Linked DNA regions of Lytechinus pictus. The protein of the gene in region 1 purifies or fractionates together with the protein of each later gene. This does not show direct contact. Links are inferred from orthologs where the notes say so. Each region holds a gene or a part of one and is shown in the gene's direction. Other genes may lie near its edges.

What was found.
Region 2: the proteins of protein smoothened-like (region 1) and beta-arrestin-1-like purify together in Drosophila melanogaster (affinity purification with western blotting, with the first as the bait; 4 studies listed by BioGRID). This does not show direct contact. The link is inferred for Lytechinus pictus from reciprocal best matches to the Drosophila melanogaster genes smo and krz.
Region 3: the proteins of protein smoothened-like (region 1) and cAMP-dependent protein kinase catalytic subunit 1-like purify together in Drosophila melanogaster (affinity purification with western blotting; 4 studies listed by BioGRID). This does not show direct contact. The link is inferred for Lytechinus pictus from reciprocal best matches to the Drosophila melanogaster genes smo and Pka-C1.
Region 4: the proteins of protein smoothened-like (region 1) and ubiquitin carboxyl-terminal hydrolase 8-like purify together in Drosophila melanogaster (affinity purification with western blotting, with the first as the bait; 4 studies listed by BioGRID). This does not show direct contact. The link is inferred for Lytechinus pictus from reciprocal best matches to the Drosophila melanogaster genes smo and Usp8.

Annotation. Positions count from the first base shown.
Region 1 is NC_087245.1:40,970,981-40,978,931, reverse strand, and holds the start of protein smoothened-like, read left to right. Parts: upstream 1-4,582; 5' UTR 4,583-4,820; intron 4,821-7,951. UniProt on the Drosophila melanogaster protein: Segment polarity protein required for correct patterning of every segment. G protein-coupled receptor which associates with the patched protein (ptc) to transduce the hedgehog (hh) signal through the activation of an inhibitory G-protein.
Region 2 is NC_087260.1:3,960,889-3,968,346, reverse strand, and holds the start of beta-arrestin-1-like, read left to right. Parts: upstream 1-4,035; coding exon 4,036-4,070; intron 4,071-7,458.
Region 3 is NC_087255.1:30,786,989-30,795,065, reverse strand, and holds the start of cAMP-dependent protein kinase catalytic subunit 1-like, read left to right. Parts: upstream 1-4,984; 5' UTR 4,985-5,003; intron 5,004-5,326; 5' UTR 5,327-5,362; coding exon 5,363-5,411; intron 5,412-8,077. UniProt on the Drosophila melanogaster protein: Serine/threonine-protein kinase involved in memory formation. Promotes long-term memory by phosphorylating meng and by regulating CrebB protein stability and activity.
Region 4 is NC_087247.1:24,369,853-24,377,354, forward strand, and holds the start of ubiquitin carboxyl-terminal hydrolase 8-like, read left to right. Parts: upstream 1-4,088; 5' UTR 4,089-4,226; coding exon 4,227-4,327; intron 4,328-4,671; coding exon 4,672-4,816; intron 4,817-5,174; coding exon 5,175-5,260; intron 5,261-6,880; coding exon 6,881-7,038; intron 7,039-7,502.

The DNA of each region.
Region 1 (7,951 bases):
ATGGCATAAAGTGCTGAACAGCAAATGATATCTCAATTTATCAGTACATGTAAAAACAGTTTTTTCCGAAGATACAGCGGTAATTAACTTGTAGAGACTCTATAATGACTTATTGTATATTGTGCCTGTATAATGATTTTCCAAGTTTTTTTCTTAAGAGATAGGCCTACGGGCAAAATCATACATTTGCACTTCCATAGTCTAACATAGAAAAAATAAGTCTTTTATATCAAAATTACATTACTTATTCCCCAATGAAGTGCCCAAAACGCAACGTAATAAATTCATCATTTTCTTACATTCATCATTCGCACTATATGGACAGACCTGCATGGGGCCCGTAACACAGAGCTTAGCAATGATCGTAGAACATCTTTCTACGATTGATTCCTTTGACTTCAATGTACAATCAATCGTAAAAATCCGGAGTACGAGTTATCGCTAACCTTTGTTTTACGGGACCCAGATTGGGATTACAAGATACGTAAACTGCTCGCAATCATGAGGCAAAATATCTCCGTTTATTTTATCTTTTGTTTATTAGTAATAACTGAAACTACAGGCTTGGTGTGCATGGGAAATATTTAATTTCCATCTCCACCAACAAATCTCAATTTCATGGAGGGCTTCTTGCAGCTTAAATTGGCGAACCAGTTGCAGGCCAGTGCATGTAAGCGCGTTTTTATTTGTATTGATTTTGTATTTATGTTATTCTCATTTGTATTGAAATAAATCAATGAATTTAATTCATTTATAATAAAACAGTTCTAAGTTGGAGCTAGTAAATCGAATTGCGATATCATCGGCGTAACATCACTGATAATTCGGCTCTATTTTTAAAAAAATCTTTAAGTCGTTTAACATCAATGTAAAAAGGTCCTTGTGGGATTTTGTTTTTTCCTGTGCGCCTCTGAAGAGTAGATGGCGCTATAAACGCATATTATTATTACTATTCATGATGACCTTTTCATCCCAAGAAATGCAGGTGTACATCTCATGCCTCCTGGTTTTCTTAACTAGAGTTGTTATTTGGAAATTTTAACAATGTTCAGATGAATTTTACTTGCTGTTTGAATTTTAAACAATTCGTTTACACTTTTTAGTGTGTGCCATTCTGGTTCTGCCTGCTGCCTGCCCCCGAAATTGATTGATAAAATGGTCATCACCCTTATGATCATTATCATATACGGATATCTTACCAGATTTTCAGCGTATACTGCAGGAACAGGAAGCGCTCACAGATAATAATCGTCAGTTATATCGACTTAGGTCTTTTCAATCATATCCAATTACTTGTGTTTTGTAACATGTTCGTTTTACTGATTGGAGGGATATATATATATATATCAGTGGCGGATCCAGGGGGGTGGCGCAGGGGGCGCGCGTCCCCCCTAATATTTGAGCGGCGCCGAAGGCGCCGCTCAAAAAAAAAGTAAAAGAAAGAAAAGGCGCTGCTTGAAAAAATAAAAAATAAAGGAAAGAAAAGAAAAGGCGCCGCTTAAAAAAATTATACACTGATATAATATTAGCAACAGTAAGGAAAGACTATCCCCCAGCGAAGCACAATCATATCATCTTCCTTATCTTTTTTTTAACTACCCTTTTCCCAACAACTTCGCCTGTTAAAAATAATCAGCAGTGCGCTGCCTGCATATAACTGGCGCCAATCAAGAATAATCAGCGCCACCTTAATCTAAATCGGCGCCAGACAAGAATAATCAGCGCCATTTGGTTATAAATCGGCGCCAGTCGAGAAAAATCGGCACTGCCAGAGTCTTAACCGGCGCCGATCAAGGATAATCTGCGCCACCTAAATCTAAATCGGCACCAGATAAAAATAATCGGCGCCATCTGGTTATAAATCGGCGCCGGTAAAGAAAAATCGACGCTGCCTGAGTTCTTAACCGGCGCCGATCAAGGATAATCAGCGCCACCTATATCTAAATCGGGGCTGGTCAAGAATAATCAGCGCCATCTGGTTATAAATCGGCGCTGCCTGAGTCTTAACCAGCGCCGATCAAGAATAATCAGTTCCACCTAAATCTAAATCGGCGCCGGACAAGAATAATCAGCACCACCTGGTTAAAAATCGGCGCCAGTCAAGATAATCGGCGCCTCCTGGTTCTAAATCGGTGACAGTCAATTATGAATTGCCGCTGCCTGAATCTTACGTGACGTCGGTAAAATAATCAGCACTACTTGTTCTAAATCGGCGCCGGTCAAGAATAATCAGCGTCCCCTAGCTGGTTCCAATAAATAGGCGCCGGTAAAATAATGAAGAAGGGCCTATTGCCAACCAAATCTAGATCGGCGCCGGTCAAGAATGATCAGCGGCACCTGGTTATACATTTTATTGTTGAATGGTCATAACAAATTTTATCACATGCCCTTACAGAGTGGACTGGGGCGGGGCAGTTGCCCACAGAATGACAGATGTCATGAAATCTTTAATTTATTTTTAAAAAATCCCAGAATCATACAAAAGCGTAGAGCAAATCCTTTAATTTTGATCTTATTTTCCAATGCTTTAATAAAAAGAAGGTCAGTCACTTTTCTTCTTTACACATTCCACATTGTGCCACCTCTATGGCCTTTAGTTTAAGACAGCTACTAAAGTGTTTTATGAAGATGATTCGATATTTTAGCCCAAAACTTTGCTAAAACCCGTTGCTAGTACCGGGAGTGTATAATTACGCAACCAGTCGTATATTGAGATTGAGCTACACAACTGGTTCTTTATTTAAAATCGTGCTTAAATTATCCGCTTCTCAGATTGGAATATAAAAATTTTCAGCTCGCGCTTCGCGCTCGCATCATTTCTGTAGCAAAACCCCATACTTTTTATGATTAAATAGGTGAATAGAATGTCCCGTTTTCAGTTCTAAACGTCAAAAGAACTCCCGCTTCGATTTGCAATAATCTTTTGCTGGATATAATCTTGTTCTTTATTACAAACGTCCATTAAACTGTCATTTTTTTCAGATCGAAATATCAAAATTTTATGCTCGCGCTTCGCGCTCGCATCTATTGTTTTTTTTTAGATACCCATCTTAATCATTGGTACCAAATATGCATAGAATATCAAGCTTTCTGGTCAGAATATAAAGAAATTTCAGCTCGCCCTCGGCACTCGCATTATCTGTGTAGTGAGATATGTATCCTCCTCATGGGTTACTACAAACAGTCCTAAACAGGCACCTTTTTCCTGTTTTCAGGTCAGTATATTAAAAAAAATTCAGCTCGCGCTTCGCGCTCGCATTAATTTGTTGGTGAGATATGTGTTTCTATCTCATGAGTCATATAAATATATATATATATTTATGTGTGTGTGTGTGTGTGTGTGAGTTTGTTTGTTTTGTGTGATATCGAGCGCCTTTGGAAAGTTGATTCATGATTTTGCCCCCCAAATCTTAAAAAAAGGATCGACGCCCCTGTGTATATATATATATATACATATATTTAAAAAAAACTTGTATCTCTATTAATATACAAAAGTATTGGCCTCATTGCAATAAAAGGGTTAATACACGAGATTTTGAAATCGCACATAACATGCATAATTTGTGTTACTTTTTGCTTGTTTCTTTCTTCAATAAGTTTTTCAATCTCTCTCTATATATGTTTTAGATTATATGTTTAAATTGATGTATATTTTCTGTTATAATGAAATATGTTTAAGTGGACTTCAGGGAATGGTCGTACGCAGCAAGGGGGAAGGGGGGCACATTCGCGATCTGCTGTTGTGAAAAACAATTTTTTTTCCCTTAACATTTCATGAAAACTATAAAAAATGTGCAAATGTGAGATGTGCACCAAATTTTCGAGTCTTGCCCCCCCGGAAATATTATCTGCGTGTGGTCATGCAAAATGGTATGACTGGAAATCCTACATTTTGAAAAGAGCATTTGATAGGGTCAGATTTTACCCCTTTTTCAACATTTTCTTTTGGCGCCGGTGAAGTGCAAAAATATGTGCGCCGCTCGGCAGTGCGCCCCCCCCCCCTTTCGCCAAAAGCTGGATCCGCCTATGTATATGATCATATATATATATATATATTCTTATATATATATATATATACATATATAATTATGATCATATATATATATATATATATATATATATATATATATATATGTATATATGATCATATATATACATATATATATGATCATATATCCAAACATTCCAGAAAGACTTGCCTTAAGAACTATTCAAATATTCATTATGCGTTTAATTTTTAACTGAAATACTTTTGAGGATCTGAATTAAGTATTCATTAAACAAAAATTCATTTCATTATATCAGTTATACTAGTAAAGTGCTTTGCTCAATTTGAACTGATTCGATCATGGGCCCCATTTAAAAGTTCCATCATGTCCATAGAAAAAAAAGATAAAATTATCTTGAGGTGAAACTGTCTGCTCGATCGCTCGCTTCGCGCTGTCTGGCACATTTTATCCCATATGCATATTATAATCCATGTTCTGCCCCTCATCAGCTCAATACATTATGGGGAAGTGAATATTTACTATAATACATTCTTTATTTTAAAAAAAATTGGCCCTCATCGCCATATGTCGTTACACTCCAGCGGAGACCGTACCAGTACACCAGCAGACTAGTCGACTCGAAAGAAAACCTTGAAACTCTTCACTCAAAGTTCCACATATGAAAGCTACACACGTACACATGCACTGTACACGAACTTTCGCCTCCGAAATTAAAACACGAGAATCTCTGCGAGTGTTTATCATGGTCCCATTCCGGGAAAGACGTTTATTTTGTATTTTCAGGCATCATGATTGACTGATGTTGGATAGGTAAGTGATAGATTACTCTAATTTTGGCCAGTTACAGATAAACCTGAGTTATTAAAGTTTACAAGAATTACTCCGATACATCTTTGAATGTGAGAGAGTAAGATGTGTGAGATGCAATCCGTATTGCATTGGAGTACGGTACGGTACTATATTTTTGGTAGGCACCTTTTCCATATATCTGTCTGCATTGAAACTACACGCAAATCCGAAATGTGTATGTGTGTGTGTGAGGCCCATTAACGTTGGTTTGCTGTTGTGGAGCTGAGCTGTTTGTTTGAAGAGAATGAGTTGCTGCACAGCCACAGGGATTCAATTTGGTAAAAATCCTGACTTTGGAAAAACCGACTTAGCAAATACCCTCTGTAGATTGAGTTCTTACTGTTTTTCCTTTTACAGACCAATGTCAACTGAATTAATATTCTTTTAAGTTAAAGTTAAGACATTAATTTGCATGTTTAATACTTGAACTTTGAAGCCTTCGAATTTGATCAGTTTTATATAAATCAAATGTTCTACATGAAGTTCCTCATTTCTGAATCTGAATTCAAGAATAAATTATCACCCTGCTAACTTCGTCAGAATTAAATGTCAGTCACGCATTGTTTTCTATTGAACAAAATATGGAATATTTGATTTTTTATTCCATTCAACTTTTTAAGAAATAGTCTTGACCACAAAGAAAAAACAGTATTTGTGACATTTGTTTACTCAAAGTTCCAACTTAAAAATCTATGCATAGATTATTAAAACTAGGGAAAGCTTCATTCAGGCTAGACAGCTGGCAGCCGTCTGTATCGAGGAGTTTTTTAACATTTTTTATATTTTCTTAATTTCTCCTCATACACAGACGGCTCGCTATCGTGCAGCCACCATTAGGGGACTTGCAATTCAAAATCCCCCCGTCGGGGCTCTTCAATTTTTGTCTTTAATGAATCAAACATTTGAAAATTAACGCGACCGAAATGCAAATTAATATTCCCTCTTGGCATTAATTGCCAAAAAACGGGGAAAATCAAGTTAAAAGGAACAAAAACAGTGACTTACCTCGGCTGTCGCACAACTTCACTGCCCTGTTTTATCCGAACTTAATACACATAAACATATGGCCATTGAGTCCCCTGTACCGATCGCGCTAGAACTTCGGTTTCTGTATTTGGTGAGTGAAGCCAACGGAGTTCAGCTGAACAACCAACATAACAGAGACCAAAGCTTTTGGTCTACATTCAGGCCTATTATAAATTAGAAGTTTCATTACTAATTTGTAAGGTTATCATTGTGTCTGTGTTAATTTGTGTTGTTTATTAAGTTTAAAGGGATGGTCCGGGCTGAAAATATGTAAAATCTATTAAAAATCACAGAGCAATATGCTGAAAATGTCATCAAAATCGGATGAACAAATAACGAAGTTATTGAATTTTAAAGTTTATTACTATTTTGTGGAAACAGTTATATGCACATTGTCCTGAATATTCATTTGGTGGGCTGATGATGTCACATCCCCACTTTCCTTTTTCTTATGTTATTACATGAAATTGTTTCATTTTTCATACATGTGTAAATAATGTGTCTCCATTATGATGAAATAAGTTGCGGCAATAAATAACTAATATTGTCAATCCAATTGTTTTAGTTCTTGGTTGTAAAATTTTGAATAAACCTAATTTCATATAATAAAATACAAAAGAACAAGTTGGGATATGACATCATCAGCCCACCTAATGAATATTCATGAAGACATGCCTAGAACTGTTGCACCAGAATAATGCAAATCTTTAAAATTCTTTAACTTTGTTATTTGTTTTTATATCCGATTTTGATCAAATTTTCAGCATTTTGCTCTGTGAATTTTACTCTATTTATTGAGATATATAGGGTTAATATCTTCAGACTGGACCATCCCTTTAATGGCAGCCATAAAAAAATGTCTTCGTTTCCCATTCAATAGACCATTCTTTAAATGAAATCTTGAATTTGAAAACTACATGAATTTATTGATCACCTCTTCTCTGATTCTCTCTCTCTCTCTCTTACCACATCTGTGTTATCTTTTGTTTTCCGCTTTAATAACATAACAACAAGGTTGAAGCTGAAATAAGAAATCAAACATATATGTAAACAAATTGTTGCTTGCCATTATTTAGTACAATTAAAAGTTTGACTTGTGAGTGTGAAATACATGTATGTACTTTCTTGACCATATATGTACTGGTATTTTCATAATTGCATCCATCCATATTCTCTGTAGGGAGTTATTTTCCTTTTGATAAATTAATTTCAAGATCAATTTTAAAGAATGGAGCTCCAACAAGCTTGTAAAGGATGACAAGAGTAAAGCCTAATTGCACTGTTGGTTACTTGTATTGTATCAGATGTTCATAAAAACGTCCAGTTTCTTGGTAAAAGATGATTTTTTATGGAAAATTATGGTTCATATTTTACTAAATTAAACTGGAATTCTGGCATATATATAATATATATATATATATATGATATATATATACATGCATGATATATATATATATATATATATATATATATATATATATATATATAGGCCTACAATATTTTATGGAAACATGCATGGTATAAAGACGAGGTTGAACTGTAATTTTGTAATTTCTAACCAAATTTTGCAAAAGAAGTTAGGTCGGAAAACCCCCACTGAATTTAGAAAAGCACTTCTCCTTCAGCAATATACATGTACATGTAGGGGAGAGGTCCATTAAGGAATTTTATCATGTATTAGACAAAGCCTGACATCCTTACTAAAACAGAATATGAAATACATGAGGGTGACGGGTGATTTTGCCCTCATGACAGCCGAAATCGCCCCTAAAATTCCCCCCAAAATGCACGTTTTGAGGCGACCATTCTTTTTAGAGCCGCCCCAAGGTCTGTTCCAAACAATATTGCATATTATTTTGAAAATAAATATTCTTACTGGTAGAAGAATAATATTTCCTTTTACTGCACAATTACTTTTTACCCATAAGAAGCAGCCTTTCAAATGAACGAAATACATTTGCAATTGCCCCAATGTGGAAAAGAAAAATAGCCCCTAGAATTTAGAAATAAGAATTATTTCCTACCCTGTACTTAAAGAAAGACAACATTGCTTCTCAGCAGATCAA
Region 2 (7,458 bases), on another chromosome or scaffold:
TAAAACAAGCTGTTGAAATGGAATTTTGTTTTTCGTATACATTCTTTATTCCTGAAAACCTTGTTAAATTCTAAAGAAAGTCGAATCATGTTCGCGTAATTACAAACTCCTGAGACGTCTCTTACACCAACCGTGTTATTTGTATTTTTGATCGGTACGTTGAGTAATTGAATGCCTTTTGGTGAATTTTGCTGTTCGATTCATTTCTTCTAGAAACTCAAAGTCTCCTTAAATCACTAAAACCATTTACTGAATTTGACTTTTGTTGTGGTCTACACTATTAATGAATGTACTGGAACCTATTTCATTATGCCCTACTTAGATTTTCGGAACAGTCATTTGAATCATACACTGAATCTGACTTTTGGTTTTGGTTTGTAGCGCACATTGATATTTATCTTTAAATAAATTTTCAAAGCCGTTCAAACCCGTATCACTAACTTAAAACTTCTTCATTAATTGCTTACACCGTCCGTCAATTTTCAGATGTTTGGAATTCTCTTCCACATAATATTCGAAATTTGAAAACCTCACATTCTTTTAAATTGGCTGTAAAGCACAATCTCCTTTCAAAATTACAGAATCTGTAAAGTGCTAGTAACGTATACATATAAGCAGTTTTGTTTTCTTTCTTTTCTTCGTAACTGAAGATTAAGAATTTAACTCTGTTGAATTACTATACCATATATTCATAACAATTTGAAACTTAATTGTTATATCTCGGCAGTCTATCACTTTTACGTTCTTTTCTTTCTTTCCTCTCTTCCTTATTCTTACATTTTTATTTTTGTTTTCTTGGTACAAAACCAGTTTAAAGGTGCTTCAACCAATCAAGCTATTAGCTTATGTTGCAACACCTTTGTATGTTCATTATTTACTTGTGTTTCATATATATATATATTTATATATTATCTGTGTATTCTTTTACATTGTACATTGTAAACATGCATGAATAAATAAATAAATAAACTATTTATTTTTGTTTATACATTTTTATTATATTTTGGAGGCCGTCTTGCATTTACATAAATCAAAACCTTAGATTAAATTATGAAATATTGATAATCCTTGTTGTTTACTTATGATGAATCCTTAACCATCTCTTGAAATAATCATTGAATCGAACCTTTGTGGGTCAGCAGTTCGCGTGTATGAAAACTTATAGGAGTGAATAAGAAAAGTGGTCTGATTCCTGGCTGTTTTGACCCGACTTAAAGATTCATTAGCGGTCACTAAAATCGACAATCGCATCTGTCTGTTGTCTTTGGTCTGTAGTTCTGAACATAATAGTTTTTCTTGTTTTATCAAACTGGCAACTATTTAATTTGTAAAGAGAGTTTTCAATAAATAAGGCAATTCTGTTGTAATGGGTTTTTTTTTCGAGGTAGTATGCTTCCGCGCTTCTGTGAGGATGTTTCTAATATTTATCGACTATGCAGTGGAGCAAGAAAGAAATAATTTGACGTTTCCCAGACATGGCGTTTGGGGAACAAACAATAAAGTTGCGCCCGAGCAAAGATTTTGTCCTTTTCGATACACATATTTATTTTTGTTATAAATTTTGACCGTAAAAACGATATCATATTTTACAATATTGTATTTTTTCTTCTTTTTTAAACTATTTTTCTTGGTCGTAATTTCCTTCTTTTTTCCCCCTTTTTTTTTTGGGGGGGGGGCACGATCCCCAAGCCCCCATTGATACACCATTGCTGCTATGTATTGTATTGCGCGGTTGAGTATATCCATATACAAATTACGCAATATAAATTCATGATATTTATTGCTATAATTATTCACCGATGGCGTACTTAAAGCTTCGTCAGTCGTCTCTTAAACCAAGATCAACTAATGGATGGGGGTGGGAGGTCTACAGCGCCTAATAACGAATACCTTGGAATGGATTATAAATGGCGCTCCACAGTCATGTCAACAAACCATTCATCATCGCCATTTAGATATTCCAAGGTGGCTGATATTATGGTGTCAATAGAGTAGCATCCGTCAACCCGGGTATTTTCTTCTCCTCGAGGCAGCCACTCGGTTTGGCGCGTGCAATCACCATAGATGCTTGAGTCAATAGGTTTGTTTGTTCTTGCTATGCGATCCCTCATCTTTGCCACTCGCCTTCAAGAAATTTGTATTAATAGCCTATAAGAACAGGGGGCGACGCGACAGGGGTGGGGAGGTTGCCCCTGTGAATTTTCAAGTGGTGAAATATATAGAAAAAGGGGCAGAAATGAGAAAGAAAGGGACAAAAAAGAGAAGCCTGGACCGTGTAACCCTGCAATACATTTATGATTAGATTGGCGTCACCTTTACAGGTCGCCTTGCCTCCCTTTCAAAAAATATTTTGCCCCCCCCCCCCTCCCGCCTACCAGTGGGGTAGAAGGCTGATTAGCAGGGACAAGAGGGGGCTCAAGATGTGGGTTGAATATTTAAGTCGTGAATGTATCTTCTAGTGCGTGTGGTCTAGTGGTTAATTTCTGCAGCATGTGCAGACGTAGCAACATCCACAATAATTCAAGCGTTATTTTTGAAAAAGTTCAAGTACATGTATATAGTAGTAGGCCTAATAACAGTGAAAGCAGTAGTGGTAGTAGTAGTAGTAATAGTAATAGTAGTAGTAGTAGTAGTAGTAGCAGCAGCAGTAGAGTAGTAGAAGAAGAAGTGGTAGAAGTAGTTGTAGTGGTGGTAGTAGTAGTAGTAGTAGTAGTAGTAGTAGTAGTAGTAGTAGTAGTAGAGTAGTGGTAGTAGGCCTAGTAGAAGTTTTAGTAGTAGTAGTAAGAGTAGAAGTAGGCCTAGGTGGTAGTGGCGTTAGTTGTGTTAGCGGTAGTAGTATCCCCATCGTCATCACCATCGTATCATAACCGGCATTATTATCATCATCATAATTATCATCATCATTATCGTCATTCTTATCATTTATTCCCTCATTCATCAACATCACATTCGTTACCAATCAAAAACTAACATGTCGCCCCCCCCCCAAAAAAAAAAAAAAAAAAAAAAAACATGATATGTCTCGCGAGTACATGTACATGATTATATCAAAGATCATGCACATAAAAAACACTATTTCATAAATATCAATGAAGAAGCTCTTCAAGAGGATTTCATAATGTTCACTGTATTTTTCTCGGTCATTAAGTGCTGGTTGCATGTAAACATAGTGCTATACTCTATATATTAATAGAGACAGACTCTTTCGGTTGACATGGCAACACTTGATGGGTAGAGCGACGGGTTTTTATTAATCAAATAACGATGCAGAATCCCCTTTGCTTATTAATTTTGTTCTTGAAAATATATTTTCTCCATCACACATCTCTCTCTCTCTCTCTCTCTCCCTCCCTCTCTCTCTCATACACACACACACACAAATTATATTCTCCCTCTCTCCCCTCCCTCTCCCCCCTCTCTCTCATACACACACACACACGCACAAATTATATTCTCCCTCTCTCTCCCCCTCCCTCCATCTCTCCCCCTCTCTCTCTCACACACACCCACACACAAACACACACCACCCTTACCACTTTCTCTACCCCTCTCTTTCTCTCCACTCTCACACAAACACACATTTATTCAATATCTCCCACTCTCTCTCTCACTAACATACACACCCACACACGCATACACACCATCATACATTCTCTTTCTGTCACTCTCTTTTTCACTTTCCCCCTCGAACCCCACTCTCTCCCTCCCTCTCTCCCTTGCTCCCTCTTTTCTCTCCTCTAATTTTCTCTTTCCCTCCCCCAACCTTTTCGCTCGCTTTCGTTTTCATATCTTTTGTTCATCCCTATCCGTTGAAGATATTTTTATCTTCCTCGATCATTCCATCAAATCCATGCGATATATTACCACCCCAGACCTATTTGTTCACATCTTACATCTCTATTAACCTTGTTCATTGTGTTGACATTTACGCCCTTTGTAACAGGAAACTCCGAACGAGCCTGATACAGATTCATCTTGGCAATACCTGAGACCACTCTTCATTTTATCTCCGAATCCGCCAGAATTAAGAGCAACATGTCAGCAGGGTCTAAAGGCAAAAGTGGAACAAGGTAGGCAAATCAAGTTAATTTATTTTTATTTTGATTTATTTATTTATTTTTTTTGTATTCGAGAAGTAAATCTAACCATTAAAGAAACAATGACTAATCAGCTATATTCAAAGTGGAAATGAATTAACAGAATAGAACTGAAAATCAGATTCCGATTTGTTTCTGAACATTTTATAAAGGATAACCGTGGATGTAAAAAAATCCCTGATCCAGTAAGGGGGGAATCCCCCATCCCCACCCAGACCCTTGCTGTGTCTACCGCTTTTGCAGATTTCCATGTTGGCAAGCATGTTATAGTCGGACCAATCTAAATGAACACGATGATTAACACTGCGTGTCAAAGGATTCTTATCTCATATTCTATTGCCTTTGATAATGGATGTACCTCAGGGATATATACTGGCCCCTTTTAACTTTATATTCATGCAAATAAACCCATTATTCACTTGCAACATCCAAATCGTGGTAAAAGGAACATGTTTTAAATTGATTCATAATAGATTAGATCTCCCAACTAATATATTTTCCCCCATTTTTTAAATTCATTTTTTCATCTTTAGAAACCTATTACCTTTGATGTGTTTAGAAGCTTGGTGTTTCATCATAAAATGACCGAGTGCTTTTCAAAAATTATTTTTCAAATGGATCTTAATGGATACATACATATATATATATATATATATATATATATATATATAAGGAAAGAGAGCTCTGGGGAACCTTGATTTAAGCTACGCCTACCATTGTTCTCTTCATCCATTTCTTTACAATATTTAAATAAAAAGAGTTGCCAATACTGTTGTACATGTATAACTTTACACATTTGTATACATTCTCCCATACGTGTACTGTATCAAAGCAATAGCTTTGATCCAGCTGAGGCATGGCGGTTTGTCATTGTTAAAAACCCACCTTCACCCGACAAAGGAAATTATAATTGGTATAGTGTCGAAAATATGTCTAGCTGACGGTCAATCGGATTGGGGTCGCCCTAGCCACTAACCCGTCTCTGTGGTCTAGTGGTTAAGGCACCGGCGTTCAAAGCTGGGGGCCCGGGTTCGATTCCCGGCAGGGACATTTTTTCGGCATCACCAATTTTTCCAAAGGGTAGAGAGCTCTGGGGAACCTTGATTTAAGCATGGACCTATGAAAAGATGGACGATTAACGCGAGCATTTCTTTGACCCAATGATAGTCACCGTCACCTGGTTATGCGCATCTTAATGAGAACATACAGGTGTTATAACAATAGCAATTACCATGACTACCAAGGGTATCTGATCACTCAAAGACGGAACAGTTTCCCGGTCTTGATTTTTGTTGGCTGATCCCCTGTTTCAGTATGTGCCTTTCAGTCAATATGCTTCATATATGGATCAGCAAACTTGAGAAGCAGACGATTTTTATGATATAAAATATGATATTATTCGATCCGCTAACTACCGCTCACACATAAGGACCTCAATAACATTGAAAGATACACGATCTACACATGTTATGTGCCACGTATATCTGGAATATTATGGAGAAACTTGGGAAAATTGAATTTTAAATGGTAAACAATCACGATATTGCCTCTATATTAAAATATGCAGACATTTCCCCAAATAAAACACATGGAACTAAGATTAACAAAGGTAAACAAAAACTGCACATCGATTATCCATTATTTCATTGATTTTCTATCAACTGCGCATATAATTTGTGAAATATAAATGTCCAATCACGAACTAATTCAGTCCCTTCTCACGGTGACGATCATAGGACCAAAGAAGACTAGTATGAAGAGAATGTTATTCAGATGACAATTACCGTCACCTGTTAGTGAATTCATTATCTAAGCGATGAATGTCCATCTCTTCATAGGTCCATGATTTAAGCTACGCCTACCATTGTTCTCTTCATCCATTTCTTTACAATATTTAAATAAAAAGAGTTGCCAATGCTGTTGTACATGTATAACTTTACACATGTATATATATATATATATATGTATATATATTCATTGATATAATTAATAGACAAGTAGAAAGATTGGAGTTAGATAGGTAGACATATACAGTAGATATATTTAACGGTAATGTGTTCTCCGTCAAGGATAGGAAATAATGAATAAATTAATCTAAGAATAGCTGAAGAAAATTTCACTTTCACTACTTTCCATTTATCCTTCAAAAAAAATTAAATGAACAGGTAAATTCACTTCTTCGGCTTTTCTTTGATTATTTTGTTCATTATTAAAGATACTGTGAGTATACACGGGGATATAGACAAGAACATGGGTTTAGAGAAAGCATTGACTTGAATTCTGTTTCTTGACTATCTAAAAATAAATTCAAAATGAAGGGGAAAACATGACGAGTGCAAGCTAATATGAGTGAAGAGGCGTTACCTACACTTGAATGCACTCGAAATGACGTTTGAGAGGACAACTGGTAAATTTGATGCCGTTGATTTCCTGTCAATTTCCTGTTCTAACAAAAATCATTTGTGAATATTATCGAGGTGACTGTCGTTGGGTTGAAGCCATTAGCATGCATGCAGAATAGGAAAGAGATGAAGGGGATTTACTCTTTCCTTTTCTTTTGTACAGTATAATTTTGATCTTTTTTTTTGGTTGTTTGTACTTGCGCGATGGAAATGTTTCACCTGCACATCCAAACATCCGATTACCACTCACACGGAAACACCGCACTCGCGCACACACACCCACAAATACACACTTCGACACGCGTGTCCTGACATTAGCAAGAATTCCAGTAGTGAAGTAGGCAGATTATCTAGAAGGAGAGAGACAGTAAAGAAGAAGAAAAAGAAGAAGAAGAAGAAAAGAAAAAAATCCGAGAGTAATTTCAGTCTGTAAGGTGAGCCGCTATGCCTAATAGAAGTAAATTGATTCCTATGTTATTGGTTCTATACCAGCTTGGCGTTATACCAGCACAAAAACTGTTCTGTCAAGTTACTATACGGGAGTAACCATACAAGATGAAGAAGAATACTTGCTAATATACTACATGTATGAAAGTTACAAAATTGTGTATCTCCCTGAAACCCTAATACAGATAGCTTCCTCTTACTACGAAGGTCTCCATACAACTAAGTAGCGAATACATTGAATTTTCTGCTTATTTCGAGGGTGTTTGTTCATTATGTGCTGATTTTTTTTTCGTGCTTGTCATCCTTATCCTCAAACGCCTTCCCCCATCTTGATAACTCAGCAGAAATACACACTGGTCCGTTGCTAGGCTTCTGGTTTTTTCCCCTCAAAATTAGATGCCAAATAATTCATTCCTTATTATTGACCGTCACCAATTCAGAACTTGTGGGTTTTAACCTTGAAATATAAAGGAAAGCCCTTGAACGCAACGTTTTGAATAGCCAAATCGCGT
Region 3 (8,077 bases), on another chromosome or scaffold:
ATCCCTTCGGAGACACCGAATGAAATTTAGGGGAGCGAAATTGCACAAGATCAATGAGATCTTGAGAGACAATGGGCATTTTCATCAAAACAATTTTACCATAAATTATAGATCACGACACATCCAATAACGTCATCGGTGACGTGGACTGATTGACTCCCAAATTCCGTGTGATTATATAGTTAGTTGTGGACAGGCTTCTGGTTGCTTCCTTATAGTCATTCATGCTTTCTCAGAAATCGGGTGAAAATAATCGATATTGATAGATAGATAGATACATACATACTACATATATAGATAGATAGATAGATAGATAGGTGGGTTGGCGGACGGATAGGCAGAGATGGATGGATGAAAGAGTGGGTGGATGGTTGGATGGATGGATGGATGGATGGATGGATGGATGGATGATGGTTGGATGGATGGATGGTTGGATAGATGGAGGTATGGATGGGTGGGTGGATGGATGGATGGATGGATGGGTGGGTGGATGGGTAGATAGAAAGAAAGATAGATAGATAGATATAGAGAGAGGGGGAGATAGATAGATAGATAGATATGGGTACATAGATAGATCAAACTACTTGAAAAAAATCTTCTTTAGGGCCTGTATGGAGGAAAATGAAATAAGTAAGGTGGTGACTTTCAGCTTTGACATTGTGGGGAATGGCGTCACCGAGAGCTGTCAATTCAATGTGCCATTGGCGTTACAGAACAGGTGTGTATGTCATTTGTCATTATCCGGCATGACAATAATCAACGGGTCGTGTGTTTAAGTATTCTACCATTACAAGGTGAAGTTAGCTAAACCTGCACTTTTACACGTATTTCTCAATAGATACAGATCTTGAATGAGATCGAACACTTGAATTAGGTCGAGCAACAACCCCCGCCAAACTTTTGTTTTTGAATGAATTTCATTGAGATTAATATACTTCATTAAGTTTTGTTGAGTACTTAAGATGGAAAATGTGTTAGATTTCGATGGTTTACCTTAGATCAATGTGATTAAAGGGACCCCTCCCCCCGGAAAGGGAAAAATTGAAAAGGAAATTCCCTAAAATCAAAGAAACAAATATTGACCCCACACACACACACACCCCCACACACGCATACACAAATAAAACGAATGAATAGAAAGGGAATAGTTTATAAACAACGGGTAGGCATATGGTAGGTAAAGTTGTAAAGTCATTGGTGGAATATATACCCCATGCACCCGACATCCAGCAACAATTATGTGCCCACTATATTCTAATAATTATCTAAAACACCACCCCTACCCCCCCCCCCTCTCAGCCGTAAGTCCCATCCACCATGTTCAGACTGGAAATATATTTTTCGTAACTATAAATTACTAATGTCGATAACTAGGCCTATAACTTTTACACTTACTTCTACCATGTCGACAACTCCTAACACTAAACCATTGGGGTTTTTTTCTACACGACTTACCTTCATCAGAAGTCTTTTAGCGTAGTATCATGCAACAATCATCCATTTTTATCATTAATTCACTGAAACAATATCCCATGAATCATCGTTGTGCTAGACTTTCTCTTCACTTTCTTCCTTTAGAGATAAGACTTCGGCTGATGTTTGACCCTTTTGTCAAATAGAACTGGGTGGTCTCTATATAAATCCTATCTCAAGACAGTTTTATCATTTTACATTCAGGGGCCGCGGAACGGTTTTCAAATTGGGGGGGGGGGCGGCTGACCATGCAAAAAATCACAATCATATGGTCATTTTTACGTTTTTGTACATGGTTTTGGAAAAAAGTGGGGGGCTGAAGCCCCCCCCCCCCCCCCCGCTTCCGCGGCCCCTGATATTGTAATTATTGCTTGAACTTTATCAATGGAATTTGAAATATAAAAAGAAATAAATTTCCCATAATCGTTCACATTATTTTTTTTTTAGTTCATAAGAATGAAATTCATTCTTTGATGATCATTTCAACGATATGTTACTTATTATTTTTGCATGTTTTTATTTTCCTTATTCTTTCACTATCTAATTCAACCAATATGAAACGAGTTTTTTCTACACACAGTCAATAACCTTCAAATAAATTAAATTATATATTCATGTATAATACAGTTTTGTTGTTCATATGCATGAATGCGTACAATTTTGCTTCGAACAATTTACAGTTTGGATATTCTTGGTTCAGAAAATGGTAGTAGGTTGTAGCATTAGACTAATTTCGACCATGCAGCAATTGCACAAAAATTCGGTTGTTGTTGTTTTTCAGGCCTAGTATATATGCTTTCTCTAATTTTTCAAGGAAACGATATTTGTAATACGTTCTTCAACGTTCTTTTTTTTAACACAGGAATGATCTCAGTATAGTCAAGGATGAATAAACAGCCTTCCATAAATAAATTCATATATTGCTATGGTAACTAGAAGTTTGTAAACAATTATTAATTGAACGTGAAAACATTGCCACCCTATAATGCTCCATTTTTTACTCCTTTTTTATGTCGCCTTGGAAACGTTTCGAAACCACACAAAGTTTGACAGTGTAAATTTAACCGATTTTGGAGAGTTAAAGTGACAAGGGGCTGACTAATAATCCACCACATCAGTGATTCCACTTCCCAGTTTAAGTCAATTTGTGTAATTTTGTCAACTTAGAATAGCTCATCATCAGATATTCACTATTCTATATATACCTTTTTGCATTCTCTTTTTCGTTTTCATTTCCTCTCTTCCCTTTTTTGCTTATTTCTTGTTCCTTCTTTTTTTCTCCATCGATCTTTTCCATTCTTCACCCTCATATTGTACTCGTTCTGATATTCATGTATTCTATCATGGACTTTCTTTCAAGTATTTGAATCTAAAATGTACTTCCATTTAACTATGTGAATAATCCATTTGTCATTGTTGCAATAAAGAACAAATAATTTGTCGTTAATAGTTCTTTAACATGGTCACTTGTCCAATCTATTTGTCAATTAACAATTCTAAAATTACCAAATAATCACGTAACGTCCTTGTATCGATTATTATGGAATCAATTCAATTCGGACTCAGAATTCATCACTTTGTGGTATTATCCTTTCTTTTTCATTCATGTAAATCCAGTCTTCCCATATCTTTTCAATTAAAAACCTAATTCATTTGCAGTGATAAAGTGACTGAGCTTTTCTTGATCAGGGGCGGTGCCACCTTCTATGGAAGGGATGGGGACATGGTCCAGGTTAATTTGCTTGCATTTTAATAATGATAATAAAAAGATCATTGTCAGTAGTAGTATAGCATTATCATGAAAACCTATAATCTATTTTCCTCCAGAATTCTTTTTTTTTCTTTCCAATAATAAAATTATCCTTTCCTTTTCTCTTCAATAAAAAAAACCAAAGGGTGGTCACCCCAATGCAAATGACAGACTTGATCACGTGACACTTGACACCGTCATACAGCCTTCTCACGTGAACTGATGACACGGGTTACACGTATATTTACCTTTGTTTATTTAACAATAAAACATCAGGTTCAGAGTCGAGCTATTTATATAGATTCAAGTCAAATAGATTTACTGGTCTTTCACGCCTATAAATGGCAAGTTAAGTTAAATTTTATTCCAGTTTGCTGTCGATAATTTATCCCCCCATATATCGTCTAAAGTTTTTTATTGGGAAAGGCGTGGAGCTGCAAGGTCTACGACAATTTTGCTCTACCAACTGAGTCATGATTAGAGCAGGGATTCGAACCCCGTAACTCTAATTTGCAGAAATTAAAAATAAATCCAGACGGACCGTAATAAGGGACCGATCGAATTCTGGATTTAGTTTGAATCCTACAGATTCATTTTTTAAATCTCAAAGTATTAGATATATCCCTCAAGTGTTTTTTAAGATTTAAACTAAATCCACAATTCGATTGATCCCTATAAATGCAGTCCATCTAGATTAATTTTAAATCCCTGCAATTTAGAGTGCGTATCATGGAACAATATTGAATGTTTCTTTCAAGCAGTGGAAGTATAATTTAATGTCTAGGCCTATATTGCGTTAATACTAAAGTTGTGTTAACTATTAACATGGACATGTCCCCACGCGCCCCCTTCCTCATCCTGGTTCCCCACCCGAATCTATAAACCCCACAAACAATACCCAATTTATACTAAAAATGACTATATTTGGAGAATAACAGATTGGTGGTATACCTCGTCATTGTCATTCTACTCAGAAATAAAAATCTTGTTGAATACAACTAAAGCAGTAAATAATACTTATTAACAAAATCATATCAAGCTCACGATTTCATCTAATCATGTTTACTAATTGTAGTTTGTTAAAGAGTGTTAATCCAATGAAAGTTATTATCCAGGATTTTGTTTTAGATGGGGGGCATTTTGTTCTCAAAATTTGATAAACAAAAATATATAAAGGGGAAAAGACACGAAAAGGAGAGTTTGCTTCGTGGCCGGTTCGTGGCAAACAGAAACCTTAACAAAAATATTGCTGACCTTTTTCAGTTGTTCGGCATCTTTGCATTCAACTGTGAGAAAATAAATCTAAAGAAGAAGAAAAAGCCTGCGATTTCAATTGTGTTTATACCCATTCGGATATACTTCTCTGGAACATTATTTTCTCTCCTTTTTCAGACCCGCGCGAATATTATACGTACCGAGTCTGTGAGCTGATCAATTTTTGTGAGAGACAAGCAGGTTCGCATCGTCTTGCGCTCATTCCGCGAAAGAAGTCCGTGAATGGAATTATTACCAGTAACACTGCATTCACATGCAGATACACAATGGTTCGTATAATTCTATTCTTTTACCTTTCCTTTCACTTTCTCCATGATACCGTCTGTGTTTAGTAAAGGAAAGACCCTTTGAGGTATTGTTGATATTATTTAAGTAAGGTTTGTACGAGTGTATTGCTTTTATTCGAGTTCTTTGGACCGTGCAACCGCGGAGAGGACAATAGAGCGAGCACACGAGAGTGCTCGGTTGGGGCGGCTCGGGCGAGGGAAGATTCGACGATCCGCAGGTTGCTTCGCAGCTACTTATATTCATTATTCTATATCTTTAAAAAGCATCTCTCAGCTGATAACCGCTTCTTGGTCCCAGTTTGATACCATCCTTAGGTATTCAAGCACCTCATCATCGGCCTCTAGGTTTTAATATCTGGATTATTACTCGTCTGACATCAACTAACCTTGGATTAATACGGAGACTATATCTGCAGACGATAACTCAAGTTTGGTCCCCTACTGGGCACCTAATCATTTTGGACGTGCTCTCTCTTCCCCATCTCCAATTAAGTGATACATAATTTGGATAGCTCAATTCTATTTGTCTTTATCTCTTCAGATTCGTCTTCGATTTAGCAGAGACCAGTCGGGCGACATGTCCAAGGGCAAGGGCTCGCCACACGTCGCCCAATGGGACAAGCAAAGTAAGTCGAAATCTACTTCCCCTTTAAACTCGACGTCCGTGCAAAGGTTTATTAATTCGATTAGTATATGTTTACGATTGTTTCTGGAAACAAAGTCCATGATGAATTTCAGAAGAGAGATAAACGTTGTTTGATGATCGAGTGTATAGCCTATTTATTAGATGCCTTGATAACAAACGCGGTGTGTTTGTGGGTGTGTGGTATTGGTCAGTATGTCCCGATTTAGAAATGATTTTAGCCATCACTATTTTTGTGTACCCATGAGTAATGATGTATATTGTGGGGAATTATTGTTCAACATTGTGGAGAACATCGATCATTGATCCATTTTCTATTCAGAATGACCCATCTATTCGTGTTTTAAACATAATGAACTAGATACGAAGTAATAGTTCAATGCACTTCGAGTTTGCATAATTTATTGGACACCAGATGGCAAACATTGCTATTTTTAAAAATGAAATAAAACTTGTTTTTATTTTGTTTTAAGTGTAAACTTGTACTAGTACGTTTAACGTATACTAGTATCACCACCTACAATATAAATATTTAACGTTATTCCATTCGGTACTCACAACGTTTTACTCACAATAAAACGCTTCTATCTCATCTTTTATAATTATTATTATGCCTTGATTATGGTTGGCAACACTTTCATGATTAAAAAAACGAATAGGGGTAATTCGTGACCATGATTATTATCTGCATTTAAATGGGTTTGTAACACAAAATGGTTATAAACGGATATCAAATATACATCGTAATAGTAAATATGTGACTTGATCTCACTTTCAATATATACGACATAATATTTATTGTTGACACCAATTACACCTCATGGTTTGTTTTCGGCCTATTCAACTTGGAAACCACGTTCTGAACAAAATTTTATCAAATATTAGTACATTCGTCGAACTGAAACGCTCTCTTTTTGTTCTGTACATAATATAAAAAGGTTAGTATTTCTTGTTTATTCCGAAGCTCACTGACTTGTAGCTTTACATGATTTTAATAATAATAATAATAATATCCAATTTTTAGAAAGCGCTTTTCCCAGAATGGCTCAAAGTGCGTTACAGCATATTATTACCCCGGTCATTGGATTCATTTCAATTCCGCACGAAAAGTGCACAATTTCCACTCCCTGGGGAGCATTCCTTGCATTCATCGCAGCCTCCTAAGTACACAATTCACCTTTAAAATGTATTTGGAGTTAGAAGCCCCCTTTTTTTATTTTACCTCCCGCATGTAAACGCACTCTGACTTCCGAAGCAATATGTTGTGTACCTTTAATTGGTTCATATCGTAGCACACCCAGCAAAATGTGCTGGTCATGCTGGTGGGTTTCGAGGAACTATATCGAAGGACACCGACTTGTCCCTTTAAATATACTTTTTAATCCCGGATTCTTTAAACCGCGGTAAATCCTGCATGCCATGGTAACGAGTAATCTTGTTTAACCTCCCGATAACTAAATAGTGAAGCCAGAGAAAGTTATATTGTCTTTACTTGTTTTTGCTATTTTTGTCATCCGGTGTTCGGGTTTCCAAACGGTGCCTGCTTTCCGGTTGAAATAGGAATAATGTATAAGAGCTTGTATAACTCCGGACACACACAATACAAGTGAATGGAAATGATATCGAAATGAGTTGTATATTTTTTCAGTTATTGGTTGATTTGGAATACGTTTCGCAGTGTGACAGAATATAGATTCCCTTTACATTTAGATCAACCGAATCAATGGTATTATGCATACATGCTTCAATTTTGCTTGCATGGGATTCATCGAATCATTGTTTAACTTTCCAAGCAAAATATGTCCCATTTTGACGTGCAACTGAGGTGTCAAGAACAATAATAAGGGGTGTTCAAGGATGACCACACCTTCGGGCGTTAAAATACACCATGGGATTTTAATATAACACCAACAAATCAAAATAACATACACAGTGTGGTATATGTGGAGGAGCCGTGGTGTAGTGGTTCTGACTCTCGCCTTGTAAACAGATGGTCGTGTGTTCGAATCCCACCGCGGTCTGGCGTTCTTTGGCAAGGCGTTAATCCACACTTTGCCACTCTCGACCCAGGTGCTAAATGGGTACCCGGTAGGATGTGAAAGTCATTGTAGCTTGTCCAGTACTGTGTGCGCCTCACCGGCGACTGACTGGAATACTACCCAGGGAGTGGAGGATGTGCACACATTGTGTGCGGGAATGACTGATTGAATCCGATGACCGGGGTAATAATAATTTTCTGTAAAGCGCTTAGACACGTTGTTCCGATGTATTAAGCGCTATATTAAAAAACGGATTATTATTATTATTGAGTGTTGAACGAACACCGTGAATTTAACGCTGGTGTTAATGTTTGATGTGGTGGTCTGAAAACACTGGTGGTGTATAGTTGTAACACAATTATTATAGTGCAGTGTTCATTTACCATTCCCGCCATGATCATGATGAACAAAATGCAGAATAAATTTGTGAAAGTGTATTGATTGTTTCAATCAATGCACATGAGCATATTCGATACGCTATTAGCAGCGATCTGTTACTGTTCTAAATTACATACCCATTGTTTTTCTTTGGAGTGAATTCCCTCTTCCCCTAATCATATTTGGACTTACTTGGCATTCAGATGTTTGAAGATGCAGTTGATAATTCTAA
Region 4 (7,502 bases), on another chromosome or scaffold:
TGTGGGCAAAAGCCCAGTATATTTTGGATGGGTCGTGTGTGTCGCGTGCATATAACTGATATTCCTTCGCACGCGAGATGATATGAACCCATGGGTGGCCTGGGCCTGGGCCCTGGCATTCGACTAGACTTGAGGACTTTGTGATGATATTTTTTAATATTTTGACATAGTTGACATTTTGACATACCGGTACTTCTTCATCTCGAAGCCTTGAAACCATTTCCATACATGCATAAGCGACACCTATACACCCGGATGGATTTCCCTAGGAAATCCATATTTAGAGGGTGAAATCGGTTAGTGTCTATTTTATTTATCTATGAACCTTCATATGCCTACTGCGTATGAAGGTGTAAAAAGTGTGTTAGTTTTAATAGTAAATTAGAGGTTTCTTTCCAGACCGATCTTGTGTACATGTAGATCCCTCAATCCATTTGTAAACAATGCAAATACAATAGGCTTGACCCTTGAACCGCATCGTTATGACATAACCTTCGATAAGCGATGTTACAAAATGCCGTTTTGAAGAACAATTTATAGATAGAAATTATTATTTAACGAATAATAAAATTTAAAACTTGATTATAAATAAATAAATTATCAAGTTTCAAATTTTATTATTTGTTTTTGCAGGGTAATAGGCCACTTGGCCTTTTTTCCCCTTTAATAGTTGCCAGCCGGGCAACCTATAATATACTAGTAGTGTACAGTGTATTATAGGTTGCCCAGCCAGCAACCAAAGTTAAGTGAGAGCCCTTGATGTACAAAAATTCATTGACCAGTGCAATTTTATAAAGATACATGTAGGGGTATAGGAACATTTTTTTTTTACTTTTTGATATTTTTGAATGACCATTGATAAATGGTGAAAAATGTCCGATCTATTTCTTTTTAGCCTGAGGAAATTGTCTACTTTTCAAAATTTATATCTTCAATTAAAATGTACTCATTGTAATCAAAATGAAGAGTAGATCATCTTCAATATGAAGGAATGATGGGGGATAACCCTACACCAAGGGTTGAAAGTTTCAAGTGTCACTTGGTCAAATCACTATTATGATAGCTCCATCTCATTTTAACTCAAGGTTACAAAGTAGTTAAAAGCATCATTGGAATGTTTAGCATTGTTTAATATGGTTCATTCAAGTTGATCTGTATTATCAAATCTGTGAAAAATGAAATATTGTATAATTCAAACCATAATGAACATGAGAAATAGTGAGGGAGGGACATCATCATCTGTCTCATTTGCATCTCACCGAGTTGTGCATATATCACTGTTTTGTGAATAATAAGCGAAGCTTTCAAATGTCATAACTGACTTGTTTTACATCCGATTTTGATGAAATTTTCAGTGTTACATGCTAGTTTGATTTTTCTCTATTTATTCAAATCAACCTTTTTCTGGGGTGGACTTGACCTTTAAAAATGATTGAAAAGTTATTTTTAAGGTCTGAAATTAAAGACCACTCCTATGAGTTGGATGTCACATGTTCAGGGAGGAATTAATTGTTGTTTCACTTGACAATGAGTAGAAAATAAGAATATTTCATATTTCAGATAATAAATTACAAAAGAAATAGTGAGTGGATGACGTCATCAGTCTCCTCATTCGCATACCGATCAAGATATGCATACATGTATAACTGTTTTGTGAAATTAAGCGAAACTTTAGAATATAATAAATTTCTTACCAGTATTTTACATCTGATTTTGATGAAATTTTTTCATTTTATTCCAATCAACTTTTTGTTGGGGTGGACTTGTCCTTTAATGAAAAATCATGCGTTACCCAATGTTTTTCATCAATATGGGTAATTAGTATTTATATTTAATTAGTACTTTTCATTACATTTGTAGTGGGTTAATTAACTTTAGTATTGGTAATAACTAATGAACATATTTAATTTCAAAGAAATTGATGCATCTTTTAGAAAGTTCTTAGACAATTACAGTTCGAAAAACAGTTGCACTCCTTGATTATAGGCCTATGTATGACCCCCTGGAATAATTTTTGTGGGCAGCAACCTGGGTCTACTGTGTGTGCAGTGCAATAGAAGACATGTTCATTTATCTCTTAGTGGACTATTTTTCTCATGAATTCTGTAATCTGATTGGTCGATTTGTTTGTTATTATTGTTGGTCACAAAGATCAAAAAGGTAATATGAGCCCATATCACCCGTGTTTAGCTGTTGTTGTTTTAATTTTGTTATGCGCATACCCAGTGATGATTTCAACCACGTAGTATGAGACCGTATTATGTGTGTATTCAAGCATTGCGCTACGCACTACTATTTGCGCATCAATTTCAATTGCAAAATACCCATTCTCTTTACTGTGATCATTGTGATGTCATAAATGACTTCCTTTCATATCACTCTCAAAATGCAGGGTTTTTTTAGTACTATTGTACCTTATTCTGCAATAATATAAGGATACCCTTAAAGAGATAAAACTGTTACACCCTGCTATGGCCTGCTTGTTCTTACGAAATACGGGAACAAGCAGGGTGTAACTAATAGTATCACATGCTGTAGAGAGGGAATTGAAATCATTTTTGTTTGATATTTAGAACTGTCCAATATTTGGGCTCTTTACCCTGCATGTGTAATTCTAATGGCCTCAAAATGCAGCCATTCTCATAAAAATTCTTAAATTAATGTCTAATGTGAATGGGTGAGCAGACATGTGTGGCACCATTTCCCCCCCCCCCCCCCCCCATCTGTAAATTTGGAAGTACATATTTGCTCAATTTTTTATGAGATTTTGGCTTTATAAGAAACGATGTCAACTAAAAATTTTCTGAAATTTCAAAGAAATTCATAATTATTCTTAGGTTCAATTTTTAGATGCACAGAAATGCCCCCCCCCCCTCATACCAGCAGGACTCTCACTAGTGCATACTACCAGCAGGGCTTACCCCACCTGTTATGGATTAGATGCTTTTTCGCCCCTGTCATTCTTGATTTTAAGAACATAAACCAACTGGTTCTTAGTCCCAAATCAAGCATCCAAAGTAACGAAATCATTATTTTCTGAAAGAAAATTAAGGAAATGTGACTACAAAGAGACAATCCCTGTAATGAATAAAATTACTATTCATGTGCTACATGTACATTCTAGACTAGCTACAGATGTTAATTTTGTTGAATAAACACCAGATGACATAGTGAGCATGGGAAACACATGCGCTAAAGTTCTTCCATAATTGAAAAATGTTAAGGAATGGTGGCTCGATGCAGATCTATATATACTGCGTGAGTTCTGCTGTCTCTTTGGAGCAGAGATATAGTTGCATCTCTATTAAGTCATACATGTACACATGCTATGAGAGGCTTTGCCTTATGTAAACAATGTCTTGAAAATCACCTTCCCGCCGGCCAATTCTACTACTACCTTTTAAAACTAAGTACGACATGACAATTCAAAATATTTTGACAAAACGATTACATCAAAATTTTACTTTCTTTCCCAAAATGCTAGTCCTATTTTGTTTTTTGAAAAAAATGAGGGGATATTTGCAGCGAGTAGTTCGCCGCCATCCTGGCTTTTATCATGGAAAGCAGTTCCAATATCAACGGCTTGATCGTGTAGCGGAACTATCATGGTTTTGATTCTCTCGCCGAGCAATCAGTCTATCAACTGCGCAATTGTTTTCCATTGCACAGGCTAAGATGGAAGCGTAACCACTCAACGAACATACCATAAATAATCAGTAATAAATGATTGTGACAAAAACATACAATTTATCCCCTAGATCAAGAGATTTTACAAAATATACTTATAAAAAGCACAGATAATTGCAAAGGTTTTTGCTTTTAAATATTTTCTGACAGTCTCCCGAACTATTTATTGAATACAATGTATTGCTTGTAAACTTCTGTAAATTGCTGTCTTGTCAAGGCAAACTACCTGTATGGACAATCATAGTTTGGCAATAAATTGAATTTAGTGAACAGCATCTTTGTGAATCTGCAGTCATGATGTTTGAATTATAAATGAAGTCTTTTATGACAGGATTTAAAAGGTATTTCTCCATTTTCTGATGCAAAAAGATATCAAAGTTTCTATCTTTTTTCAATTCACAGATGTTAATAGAGTCTAGATGCTACTTTGAAGATGTAGTCTGACTGATTCAAGATTCTATGACCAGATAGCTAGTCCCAATTACTTAAATTGCATTCTTTTGTGAGGCTTGTTACTTTGAGGAAGGCAGCCGGTAATCATGCCCGGAGCATTGAAGAAACCTCTCTACATCAGCTCCTCCATTGAGGAACTCAACAAGAAGGTGGACCAGAACATAACCAAGGGACAAACTTCAAAAATGTGAGTAATAAGTTCACATTTGGGGCTAATCGATAATCTTCACATATATCACTTTGGGCATTTTAGCCCTGAGAAATATATTTACAATAAGATAACATGGATGTACCCAAACAATGATCAAGCTCATTGTTCATGAAAATAGGGTTTTTAGGGCTTGTTCACTTTGTCAACTCACAACTTCCCAGAAATCATGCTTTTTAACCCAAACGACAGTCTCATTAAATGCCACTGCAGAAAATGTTATTATATGAAAAGTATAGTATATGTCACATGTATAATTTTCATGAATCATTTGGGTTTTGCTACAAAAATATGCAGTATATTATGTTTCACTCTGACACCAGATTGGCCAGATCAGCTAACAAGGTATTCGTTGAGGCAGAAAAAGCTGATAAAAACCTTGATGAGGAACGTGCCTATGTTCTGTTCATGAAGTACCTCACACTATGGAAAGCTGTTCAGAAGGCAAAAGATTATAAGTCAAACAAGGTAAGTTTAAGTTGACTCTGTTATTATAGGTGAAAGTATCCAATTCTGTAGCAAGTAGTTTTGTTTGTTTTTTTAATAGAGGAGTGAGAGTCTCTTAAATAAACAAAATATTTGAGCAAAGGAGATAAGACATTAAATCTGACAAAGCACCATTGATTAAGTGAGTAAGCATTTACCATCTCAACAACTACTCATGCCTTTCCTTGTATTCTACATTATAAAATTCACTAACATGTGGCATAGAAAAATATGCATTTGAAATATTAACAAACTCTATACATGTATGTACCATTTTTTTCAAAGACTGGATAATATCTACTGAAATCATTTTTAAGGTTTCTTTTATTTATTTTTCTAGGATTATATTGATACTCTCATTGGTAAGGCAGGATGCAGAAAGGCTATAGATAAGGCAGAGGAACTCTCAGCATCATTGACCTTGAGGTGAGAATTCAATGTGATTCCTTAATCATTGGGAGTGTTTGGAGTATTTTTCTTTCTGGAACGAAATATTTCTAGTTCTTCACATTACATGTCAGCTTACTAGTTTTAGCCCAAAATATGTATGTTTACTGTATGCATATTTTTTTTTATAACTCACCTTTTATTCATAAAAAAGGGAATCACAATAATGGGCCCAGGTTACCAGTTCTAAACGAACGTAATACAGGGGGCAACATAAATTGAATACAGTAAAGATAGACATAAACAAACATAAAACAAGATATAATAATTATTTACATATCAAACGCGTCAATTCAATTCATAGCAAAATTTATACTTAAAGTGGTGAGAAGGTGGAAGGAGGGGATGTGCTATCCCGTGGTTTAACTTAGGTTGTTCTTATTTTGAAATGAGGTCATCGTACTAACATATGGAATTACAAAAATATATAAATTATGCAATTATGAATATATGAACAGATAAAGTGTAAATTCACATAGGTAGGCCTTAATCTTGAGTTTATATTTTGTATATGTAACAGGTGTGATATATTAAATTATATGATATATTACTGTCTGGCATATATAAATGAAACAAGAATGGTTGGAATGGGGAAGAATGAGGAAGCAAGGGCTGATGGAAAGGAAATGGTTTGGAATAGGTTGGAAAGAAGAGAAGAAATAGGAAAAGGGGAGAAGAGAATATAGATAAAGAGGTAGAGAGGGGGTGAAGTATAAGGGGAAAGGAATCAGCCCTTACGCCATAATAATCTGAACAGCATAATATTGACGGAAAAATGAGCAAATAATTATCTTTAGATGTACAACAATCATATTGGAGAAATTCAAAATGAGAGTCAGTGAAGAAGTGTCATGTCGGTCCACTGTGGTTCACTCTTTGCATTGTAGATCACGTATGAACCAATTAGTGCTAGTTTACTCATTGTAAGGATAACATCTTTGTATTTCGAGGAAAATACAACTTTCAATCTTATACCTGAATTCTCATAGATTATGTAAGAATTATATATTTTTTTAATTCCCTGAAATTTTCTCCAAATTATGTGTGCAAAAAGCATCTTGAGCTATCACTGTCATATCTTTATTTTCATTATGCAATGCAAGTAGAAAGTTTGTATATGTATAACCTGTTCTTATGTGAGGGATTTTCACAAATTTGAAATTGAAAAAAACAAAAACATAAATTTATCACCATACAAAATATCCTTGCAGCACACTTGTCACAATTTTGTCAAATTTTAATTACTATATCAATGGTGTACAGTACAGTGTAGCTATACTGCCCATATATATCTGGACACTGCATGCATCATGCACCCCATTGATTTGTCGGTGTACCAAGGGTAGCTCGTATTGGTGGGAACATGTATCACAGACATGCCAATATGCAGCAGAAGCCTTCCGACGATAAAGATCTATTTGCAAAAAATATGAGTCATACAGTAATGACCAATAATTATAAAAGGTAATCATTTTCAAATTCCTTGAATTTTCATCTTAAACAAATCATATGTACAGTGAGCTCCTGCAGTGATGGATAATGATTATGATAAATAAGTTATCATTTCCAAATTCCCTAATTTTTAATCGTATTACACAGGTACAATGAGCTAGAGGAAGCAAAGGAAGCAAGTAAGAAACTAGAAGAGGAGAAGGAGAAAGTGAAAACAAATGGTTTGAAGGATGGCAAGTCCAAAGATGGAGAGGAAGGTTCAGTGGAGAATGGAGTTCCAGAGGAGGAAAAGAAAAGAGAATTTGGTAAGATAAAGATGAAATTAATACAGCCCTTACAATTAGCAAAAGAGCCCACTTAAAACTCTTTGTGAGTTTAATATAAACATCAAAGGTACTATTAAAACAATATAGTCCTATGAGTAATAAACTACTTTAAAACCAAATATTTGTGAAGATACTTAAAGAAACTTGTCTGCAATTGGAGAAGGGTTCATCTTAAAATCTTTAATCAACCCATTCAGATGGGCAATATAAAGATATCACAAGTGTAACCTTTTATTTTCAGGCAATGGCACATATTATGTAAGCCTAACCTTGATTCTTGACCATTGTGTTTGCTGTCGTTTCTTAGCTTTTCTTCTTCAAGGTAGTTGATGTACTTTTGGTCTGACTCAGAAGTGATAATTTGTTCTATAACTTTCACCAATAGTAATGACTTAAATTACGTTATGATAGTCATACAGTAGGCTCTGCACAAGTGTACCTTC